Mus musculus: one gene and its partner. The protein of the gene in region 1 interacts with the protein of each later gene in a pairwise test. Links are inferred from orthologs where the notes say so. Each region holds a gene or a part of one and is shown on either strand. Other genes may lie near its edges.

Region 1 (5,858 bases):
CACAAATGTGTTCCATCCCCGCCTCCAAGGCTCAGGGGACATCCGAGAGGAAAGGGGAGAAAATAATACAAGAGCTGACCTAGCCACTGCATACATAGACTCACTTATGGGAGTGGCTGTCTGCAAATGAGATACACAGGGCTGGACCTCTCAAAATCAACTGGGATGTGAGAAGGGTCTCTGAGAGGCCTCTCTTTACCTGAGGAACTATTAAAAATAAACAGGACTAAGTAAAGTAAATTGCTTCCCTCAGTACTTCAATCACTAGAGTACTTGCTGGGCAAGCCTGAGAACCTAGCTTTGGAGCCATAGTGTGCTGGTGTGTATCTGTGGTCCTAGCACTGGGAAGGCAGAGATAGACAGCAATAGACAGACACCTGGAGCTCACTAGCCAGGCCAGCCTAACTTAGTTCCAGGCTCAGTGAGAGACCGGTCTCAGGAAACTAAGGGTATTGAGAAAGACACTAGGCACCAAGCTCTGGCCTCCACACATACGTTTACACACATGCCTGCACACCCAATGCTATGAGCACACATACATTTAAGTTGTAGACATATATGCATACAATAAATCTGTCAGGGGAAGACAATTATAAGGAGGAAAAAACAAACATAAGTTAAAAAAACCCATAAATACTTAGTTGCTATTTTTCTAAAATATTTTTTCAGATTTTATATATTTTTTCTTTGTAAGGCTGTTTTGACTGCGTGTGTGTGCTATGTGTGCTCAGTACCCATGATGGCCAGAAGAGGGCATCAGATTCCCCCTGGGACTATAATGAGCTATCTATCAGGAGGGACCTGAACCCTGAACAGGGGTCCTCAAAAAGAGCAGTCAGTGTTCTTAACCACTGAGCCGTCTCACCATCCCTCACAGGTAGTTTTTTCCTATGGTCTACACCATTTACCACCAGGGCTAGCTGCAACCCAGCTCTCTATCTCCCTGGACTGAGCCCAGGGCCTCAGGCATCCTAGCCAGGAAGGCACTCATTCACTTACTGAGTGACATTCTCAGGCCCACAGAGGTAATGTCTTTCCAGGCCCAATTGTCCAGTTGAGGCATTTAGGAGAAACCTCCCTGTCATCTGCTGCAATTACTGCTTGTAACCGTTGTTTCACCGTTGTTTTTTACATCATTACAAGAGTGTAATTCATGGGTGATTCATTAATTTAAGTAGTAACTGTAGCCAGCAGCAAGCTATTAAGTCATTAGGCAGGGTACCTTTCAGGGAGTGAATTTAACAGGTGGGGGACACAGCCCTCTCTCTTGTTTAAATAGCCTTTAAAGGGCACTGGGGAATGAGCTTACTTCTGTCAGTAAGAGGGGAAAAGAGGCTTGGCTGCCTGGAGTCAGCAGCAGGCAGACCTCCAAAGCTCAAGGCCAGCCTCCTCGTCTACACTAAGAGAACTTGCCTCAAAAAAGAAAGGGAGCGAGAGAAAGGGGAGGAGTTGGAGAAGGTGGAAGAAGAGGGGAAGGGAAGGGAGAGAAGGGGAGGGGAAGAGAGGAGAGAAGAGAGGAGGAGAGGTTTGAAATTTGGACTATTTCAAGTTGCCACCTGAAGCAGAATGATTAACAAATCATAGTATTCCTGACTTAAGTATTCCTGATGCAAAGATATGGTCAGTGTTTCTAATTAATTTCCCTGATGTTCTGAAGAAATTTTGCAAATGTGGCACTCTCGACAGAAAGCAACACTAAACAAAGGCAAGCAAGAAATAGCCTGCTTTATAATTCCATTTTTTTGGGTTTTTTTTTTTTTTTTTTTTTTGGTTTTTCGAGACATGGTTTCTCTGTATAGCCCTGGCTGTCCTGGAACTCACTTTGTAGACCAGGCTGGCCTCGAACTCAGAAATCCACCTGCCTCTGCCTCCCAAGTGCTGGGATTAAAGGCGTGCACCACCACGCCAGGCCTATAATTCCAAATTTAACTCACCGCAGCGGAAGCTTAGAGGTGTGGTTGGAAGTGGTGGGACCATAGACTATATCAGTATGTATGCCAACTGGTATGACCAATCGCATCAGCCCGCCATCTGAGACAACTAAGCCACCTGCCAACTAGTCACACTGTAGTCGCTCCTGGATACTCACTTCAGTGACAACGATTAAATTCTCCTTCTTGTTGTTTTGAGACAGGTTTCTCTACCCAGCCCTCACGAGGGTGGCTTCAAATTCAGAGATCTGCCTGCCTCTGCCTTCTGAGAGTTAGGATACAAGGTGTACGCCACCTCCACTCGGGCCTCTCTCTCTCTCTCTCTCTCTCTCTCTCTCTGTCTCACATTTGTTTCTTTTGTTTTCCAAGACAGGGTTTCTCTGTGTAGCCCTGGCTGTCCTGGAACTCACTCTGCAGACTAGGCTGACCTCAAACTCAGAAATCCACCTGCCTCTGCCTCCCGACTACTGAGAGTAAAGGCGAGCGCCACCACGCCCAGCCTGATTTTACCTTTTTTCTTTTTTAAACAGCTCTCACATATGCCAGGCTGACCTATGTAGCCAAGGATACTTTGAACTCCTGATCCTCCTGTCTGTCTTCACCTCCTCAGTGCAGGGATTCCTGGTTAGCCAGCTGGGAATCAAATCTAGGGCTTTGAGATGCAAGCAGTCAAGCTACTGAAACACACAGCCTTCTGTGTGACACGTGAAACGCATTCCGATACCAATTGGATGGGACCCAATGACACCTGAATGAGACACAGAAATCCACCAGAAGTGGACACTGCCAAGGCGCTAAGGTGGGCCATTCCATACATTACTCAGAAAACATCTCTGCTTCCTGCCTGCAAGTGCAGCCCAGAGAAGGCGGGTCTGTGGCATATTTGCGCCATGCACACTGCACACAGAGCCTGGCAGAGTGAGTACTGGCCCTGCTCTTGAGCACCGGAGCTGCTCCAAGTTTAGTCCCCCTGAAATGAGAAGCGTCCCGGGGAACCCGGGGAAGGATGCTCCATCCTGGGCTGGACCACTCAGGATCTCGCGAACCTGCCTTTCCGCAGCTGGCTAGCTCGCTACCCGGATCCTGCATCCTGCGGTCCAGCAAGCGCCCCCCACCCGCACCCGCACCCCGAGCCGCGCGCCCCCACCCCCACCCCCGCGCGCTCCCGCGCACCTGAGGCTGTCGTTGTCTCTCACCAGGCGCGCGCTCTCGGCAGGGGGCAGCAGCCCCCCTTCCAGATAGAGGCCCAGGAGCGCCCCGGAACTGAAGCCGAAGCGCTGGCGGATGAGACTGATGAGATCCGTGACAACTCGACATCTGTTCAGGTCCACCAGAAGCCAGAAGACCGTGCAGTGTGGAGTGGCCGGCGGCGGGTAGTCAAATTGAAGCCGTAGCCTAACCGTCTCGGAGGCTGCCATCTTGCTCATGCTCGACGGAAGCCGAGAGGTTCCAAGGGCTTTCGCAGCGGCGTGGTCCGGCGGCCCGCCCCCAGCAGCAGCTAGCGTGCGCCGCCTGGGGGCGCAAGTAGGTCTGTAAGGCTCCCCTCGCGAGCTCCCCATTCTTTCTCAGGGCTGAACATACATGCAAGTTGACTGTCAGGATAGCTGCTACGATATCGGTTCGTGTAATTAAACAGAAACAAACCAAAAATCTATAAAATTAATAAGCAGCAAGCCTGACTCGAACCCCTGTAATAGGTTTTTACTTTTCTACCAAAAAGGTCAGGAAAGCACCAAATTGTGGTGCGTGTCCAAGCAGAAAATGAGACATTCTCGTGATGCGAGACTTAAAGTTCTCATAAGACTGTTTAAAACTCACACACACACGTCCTTGGGGGCCTCAGGGAGTTCAGTGTGTCCTCTGTCCCTGACCAGATCAAGTGCTTTCCTCATCTTGAGGCAGAACAGTATTCTGAAAGTGTTGACGGTCCAGAGAGTCAGAAAGCTAAATAAATAGGAAGATTTTCTTTAAAAGATTTATTTATTATATATAAGTTACACTGTAGTTGTCTTCAGACACTCCAGGTGGTGCCTAGGTACCCAGAGAAGACACTCAGGAACCACACCATTCACTCCAGAGCCTGCTGTTCCCGACCAGTCCTGCCTGTAGCAGGCCCTATCATCCCAGAGGGAATCATCCCCTACGGACGCCCTGTTCTAGCTTTGTTCCTTTCTCCTCAGGGATGGCTGCTGCTGGCTGCTGGCTGCTGGCCACCTCCAGTCGAGAGGTAGAATACAGTATGACGCGAGAGCAGTATTTGTGCTTTTAGGGTTATTTAATATTTATTTTAAAAGACAGCCAATTTATTTATTTATTTTCAACTAGAGAATGGGTCTCTAGGTCTCTAGGAATTGGCTGTGGGGCCCTCACTGCACATCTTGTTCCTTAGCACTGTTTCCAGAATCCTTCCTCACGTCTGGAAGAGGTGGAGGAAAAGATTAGGGGTGGATCTCCAGGCCTTCAAAGACATCTCCTGTTCTGAAGGCCAGGCCCACTGTGGCTGGGGTCTCTGGCCTTGCTACCTGAAAAGTGAAGCCACATTCCCTCAGAGTTTTCATCTCATCAAGGAGCTGGTTGTCCTTGAACAGCAGCTGCTCCTCAGGAGGCCTCTTCATGATGCCCTCAATGATGCGCTTGAGCTCCCACACCGTGCTTGACTCCTTGGCATCAGTGAAGATGGTGGTCTTCTTGTGTCGGATCACAAGAAACACAAACAACCCTGTGTCTGCTTGTGACTCCATGCACCTCACTGGACCTGAGAAGTGTCAACAACAGACTTTAAGTCTTTTCATTGCTCTGGGGCTGAGTTTCTCTGACCCTGACAGGAAAGGCTGGTTTCAATTGGATATCTGCACCTGCAGGAGGCCTCTTAGGGTGTTGTTAATCTGAATTCATTAGTCTAATGCTGGTCTTTGCCCCACCTTATGCATATTGCAGAGGGCTGAGGCCTTCTGGATTATTTCTAGGAATAAACAAAACAGATTCTAGGAACACCTACCCTATAATCCCTTTCCAAATGCCCTTGCTTACCACAGTTAAGACATCTGACAGTTTGATTTTTTTTCTTAAGACTTTTAGAATTTACTATCAGATTAGCATCATAAATGTGAGATCCAATATCTCTAATCTATTCTATTGGTGCTGATGGTGCCTAATCATCCTTTTGCATTCTGAACTAGCGTTTTCAAAAGCCAAGGATTCAATTAATATTTTTCTGACTTCTCTTTACAACTGAAGTCAATCTTTGCAAAAATCAGGGAAGGCTGCTTTGGGGCCTTGTGTATTTTAAGGAAAAGACTCACACCTTTCTTGGTTCTTCAACCTCATCTCAAGCATTAAAAAGCTGCTAAATGACATAGCATCAAAATGTGATCATCAAATTCAAGCTGCCTTTCTAAATCTTTGTTGTTGTTGTTGTTGTTTGTTGTTGTTTTGTTTTGTTTTTTCAAGACAGGGTTTCTCTGTGTAGCCCTGGCTGTCCTGGAACTCACTTTGTAGACCAGGCTGGCCTCGAACTCAGAAATCCTCCTGCCTCTGCCTCGAGAGTGCTGGAATTAAAGGCGTGCGCCACCATGCCAGGCTGAGGTTGGTTTTCTAATAAGCTTGAGCCAGCCCCTTTCAGTTTCATCATGTGACTGGCAGAGTGGCAAGTTCTTTCCTAAATTCCTCAATCTGTGTCTCACTGGTTTTCCTAGGTCTTTCTAAGGGTTTTTTAAATTTCTGAAGTCTGTGTCCAAGTATTTTTCTTATTCTCCTTTTCAGTCTAATTTTCCTGCTTCTGCTTGGATCTTATCAATCCAGTGTTTTTTGAGCAGGTACAGAAAGCCATGATGGCTATTAAGAATATAGTATAAGGGGCTGGAGAAATGGCTCAGCAGTTGAGAGCACTGACTGCTCTTCCAAAGGTCCTGATTTCAAATCCCAGCA
Region 2 (4,884 bases), on another chromosome or scaffold:
TGGGAGAGCTGCATCATGGTTCTCCCTTACTACCAAAGGCCCGAGACCCAAAGTTGTCTAAGTCAGCGATCACACAGCTGGAGGGGATTTACTTACTGATAGAAAAGAATCCCAAACAAAAAACAAGAAACAAAATCCCCCAAACAACTCCAAATAAGCAAAAACACAGTAACAATATACAGTTGGCTCTTATCATAATCCTCAATCTAAAACGAACCAAAAAGAAAAAAGAACCAAGAACCGGGCAAGGAGGTTTTGAACCTTCAGTTAGAGACATAAGATGTAAAAATCAGTCAGTTCATTATCTGAAAGTGGGAAGTGGTCCTTTTAACTTTCTACTTACAATGACTTTATTTCCATAATTCCTTTATCTTCCACCTACTCTTTTCTAAAAAGGAGACAAAACTATTAGAGTCTAACGCTATTGAAATATCTTCATGTCAGCATAAGAGATGAAAAGCATGGCGGTCTGGACCAGGCAGCCATACACAACACAAACAAACTGCCCCATCTGAAGGCGGCCAGCATCTGGGAGAACATCAGAAGAGATCACAACAATCTCTTACTGGCACGACACACTTTGATCAAGAATTTCCATGGCCCATCTTACTGAAAGGTAAGACCAATGATAAGAGCAAAGCAAGTACACTCACTAAACAGAAAAGTTACTGCCTACTCATAAAATTTATTTAGATTTCTACTTACTATTTTAAAGATAAAATGGTTTTATTAAACAATTATTCTTATTAATAAGGTTTAAGGCACTTTTATTGCCTTCTGTGGATTCTCATAGCTACTACCCGCCCCACAAAGTATTATTTCAGCATAGAGGCTAGGGATTTTAATTCTAAAATGTAATACTTTGCTAATTTATTCTAAGATGAACTTAATAGCCAGGAAATTGATTTTTATAAAAGCTATTTCATGTGCAGAAAATACTGGCAATTCATAACAAATGCCAAACTGTCTGTGGCTTTCTAAACCAAACGTTTTCTCAGATTTGATTTTTAAAGTTGGAGTCTGTGCCTTCAGGGCTATTACTATTTGAGAACTCCATATAAATATTAAACTAAAAATTAAATGGTAATTTTGATTTTGCTTTTTCTTCAAATTTCTTCTCTTTCCTGGAACCACTGATTTTCAAAAATTCACAGAATGAGCATGTTTTTTGCAAAGTGGCTTGTCCTTCTTGGAGAAAAATGTCTGCCCTTCCAAACTTTCACAACACACCTGGAAGAAAAAAAAAAAAGAAGCATTATTTAAAAGAATAACATTATTTAAATCAAATCTCCCAACAGGAAGTGACTGCCCCCAATGAGCAACATTACAAGTTCTTTAGATAGTTGTGTGAGACAAGCTGACACTTCATGATTAACATGACATTTTATGTCATTTTTGAAAAGCAGAGTGATTTTTTTCCTAGAACAGTCTGATTTATTTAAATAACAGATGATTGCTTTTCTTTACTAAGAAGAAAACACTTAGTCCCAATGAAAATTTTAGTACACCAAAAGTCACATTAAGAATACAAATTCTAACCAATTTTTAAAAAATCTGTTTCCTTTTATAGAGCATTCAAAAAGAAACATAGCTTAATTCCTTTGCCAAACCCAATGTCAGTCTGTCCTATAACACAAAGGCCATAGATTCTTGCTATTATTATTTGTTCATCTTTTATTATGTGTATGTGCCTGAGTATGGTATGTGCATGAGTCAGGTGTCTTGGACACCCAGCGAGCCCTGGTGGTCAGCTGCTTGACATGGATACGGAGTCAATCCTGGGTCCTCTGCAAGAGCAGTAAGTGTTTTTAATCACTGAGCCATCTCTCCAGCCCCAGCAGGCTGGTTTTTAATTTACTTCCTGAACAAACTATCCATTCATGAAGGAACTGATTTGACTTGACTCTCCAGTGAACGCCTTGGGCAGTGCCTGCCTGGTGAGTGGTTCTGTGGTCAGGTTACCCACACTTTCGCTTTCGTGTTCTTTCTGCTGTCTTGTAAGTGACAATGCTCATGAGAAGACCTTCCTGAGAGGGAAAATATGCAAAAGCTGTTTTTTATAAACTTTATGAAGTCTAAAAGATGAATGAAATAAAAATAAGAATGATCTGAAAGGTAGTAGTTGAGAAATCATTTGACTTCATCTTTACCTAATTCTTTTATGTGCTGGGTATCAAATACTGTTAGGTAAGATTAAATCTAACAGAAATCAAATACTGGCTTGGAACAGCTTTACTGAATATTATTTTTCTAAATTATAAAAATTATCTTATGCTAATGTTAATCTTAATCACTAAAAAACCCCAGAACACTAGGTACAGTGATGCACACCTTCCATTCCAGATCTCTGTAGGCAGAGGCAGGTGGATCTCTGTGAGTTCAAGAACAACCTCATCTATATAGCAAGTTTGACGTCAGCCAGGGTACAGCGTGAGACCCTGTCTCTACAAAAAGCTGTTGGGGATAGCTAAGTCAATAAAACACCTGAGTGTTATCCCCCAGAAACCATGTACACATGCTGGGCTCGGTGGTACATGCATGCTTTGTAATCCCAGGACTGAGAGGGTGAGGAAAGGAGGGTCCCAGGATCTCTTGCCAGAAGCTCTAGCCCAACTGGGGGGGTTCCAGGCCCATGAGAAACTCTGTCTCAAAGAACGTGGCCAGTGTGGTCAGAGTGACACTTGAGGTTGTCCTTCAGTCTCCACAAACATGTAAACGTATGAACATACACATAAGCATACAAACACATAAAAATAAATAAAATCAAACCCCAAAGCACTAAAAAAAAGCAAGTAAATAGGTAATTTTTTTCCATGTTCATAGTTTCAAAAAGAAAAGAAAATCTACGAGCTATCTCTCAGTCAGGAAGAAAACTGAGCCATCTTGCTGGCTCTCTAGTTCTTTGTTTTTGTTTTTTGTTTGGTAATTTCTCTTTTATTTAAGAAATATCTAATATGTAAAAAAAAAAAACCTTAAACTGTTTAATAAAAGAATTTAGGAAATTAACTCATATTAAAAAAAGAAAAAATATCTTCTCCTTAGAGACAAGAATGCATTAAAGGGTAAAACCCTATTATATGCCAAATAATTTCAAATCAACTTTTAAGAACATCAAAAACCACTGTTCCTTAGCTTTGAGGAATGGAAAAACCAAAGTGCTGTTTATTCCCATTAAGCACTAAGCTTTTTTAAAAAAAAAAATTAGTTATTTATTTACATCTCAAATGTTGCGCCCCACTCCAGGCACCCCGTAACAGAGTTCTTCTCTCCCCTCACCTGAGAGCTGGCCCCAGTATTCCCCTGACCCTGGCGTATCAAGCACTAAAGCTTTGACCAGGACAGTGCAGTTTACTTACAGAGCACACAAAGCAAGTATCATGCCAAGTGTATCCCAGAGCTTCCAGGAACATGTCACCAGCCTCTATGGGGAATTCACATCCACGACATATTGTTCCAAAAAGGGCGTAGTAGTCTGCATCAAGTAAAGAGAGATGTAATTTAAACACAGTGAGGCTTTGGAACTGCAGGTCACAGGAAACTGTACGCTGGAAGTTAAATGAGCTACAAAGGTTAAGATTGAGATGGATGTGAGGAACGCAGTATCTCCCAGGGGTTGGGCAGCTTGGTCAGGATTTCCTCACTGGGTTGGATGGGAGATGGGACAACCCCTGCAGAGGATCCTCGTCCTTTCCTTATTACTAAATAATAATGCTTGAGATGTATGGATTTTCTTTCCCACATTTTTATTCTCGTTGATGAAATTCCATCACTGTTGTGTTGGCCTTTAGTACAGTCAATATAGCTGAAGTTAGAGGGGAGGGATTCTATAATGTACAGCATGATGCTAACATGCTTCAGCACCAAGTGTTGAAGTCACATCCAGACACTCTACTGGGCAGTGCTGCAGGCCCCACAGAGGTACACTTGCAGCAAGGACAGGTATGGATGCTCATCTCAGGGGACTTCGGCTAAGACTGTGATAAGTGCGATGAGGCAAAACAAACAAACAAACAAACAAACAAACAAACAAAGGGCTGTGATAGAGACTGATTACGGAGCATACACTACATTATATAGGAAGGTTAGGGAAACCTAACAGTCATGATGAAAGTGGGAGAATCACACTGAGATTAGTCAGGAGAAACTGTAAGTATGAAGGCACTGGAATCAGAAATAAAATCTTAGCCATGTTCAGAAATAACAAAGGGATAAAGTGTGGGTTAAATCTGAGGTCAAGATGAAAGGGGACAGCAGATGAAAGCCCACAAAGCAGGTTCTAGCAAGGAGGACGGTGTCGTGCTCAGGTCACAAGCACAGTCTGACTGGCACTGTTCACAGCGCCCTGATTTCTCCCCAGCTGCCAGTAGGAAGTCCAGGCACAGAGCAAGAGCAAGCTGGACATGGTGGTGACACTGCAGATGGATGCAGATGCTTGTCTGATACCCTCTGGAGGTGGAATGCCAGAGATTACTTGTTAGACTGGGTTCTAGAAGATCAGAGAAAGAGAAAAATCCTAGGCCTTTGGACAGTGGACTGCAGCCATCTACTGAGATTGCTAAGACTGGTTGAAGGTTAAGGAAAAAGAGTAAACATTAGATCATAATTCCCTCTCTGCAGGCAGGAAAGGCATTAGTTTTATGTCATGATTGCTTCTAAACTATATTAAACATCACAAGCTAGGTAGAGGTTTATGCTTTGGTACACCTAGAGTTCCTACAAAGCTGCTAAAACTCGTGATCAACTAAACAAAAACCAAGTCTCTCTTCAGAAAAAAAAAGTAACTGCAAAACATGGTATATTCTGAGAACGCTAAGCAGTTTACAGGCAACTTTACTGCTAACAACCCACAGGGTATTTTATTGGAGGTTCTGGGGTTTCCTGGTG

Evidence for each region.
Region 2: the proteins of Coil (region 1) and Pdlim5 interact in binary tests that used the Homo sapiens proteins (3 or more experiments, as listed by UniProt). The two-hybrid records come from large-scale screens. The link is inferred for Mus musculus from reciprocal best matches to the Homo sapiens genes COIL and PDLIM5.

Annotation. Positions count from the first base shown.
Region 1 is NC_000077.6:88,971,449-88,977,306, reverse strand, and holds the start of Coil (coilin), read right to left. Parts: upstream 3,373-5,858; 5' UTR 3,359-3,372; coding exon 3,105-3,358; intron 1-3,104. UniProt on the Homo sapiens protein: Component of nuclear coiled bodies, also known as Cajal bodies or CBs, which are involved in the modification and assembly of nucleoplasmic snRNPs.
Region 2 is NC_000069.6:142,241,540-142,246,423, forward strand, and holds part of Pdlim5 (PDZ and LIM domain protein 5), read right to left. Parts: intron 3,473-4,884; coding exon 3,357-3,472; intron 1,231-3,356; coding exon 1,141-1,230; 3' UTR 1-1,140. UniProt on the Homo sapiens protein: May play an important role in the heart development by scaffolding PKC to the Z-disk region. May play a role in the regulation of cardiomyocyte expansion. Isoforms lacking the LIM domains may negatively modulate the scaffolding activity of isoform 1.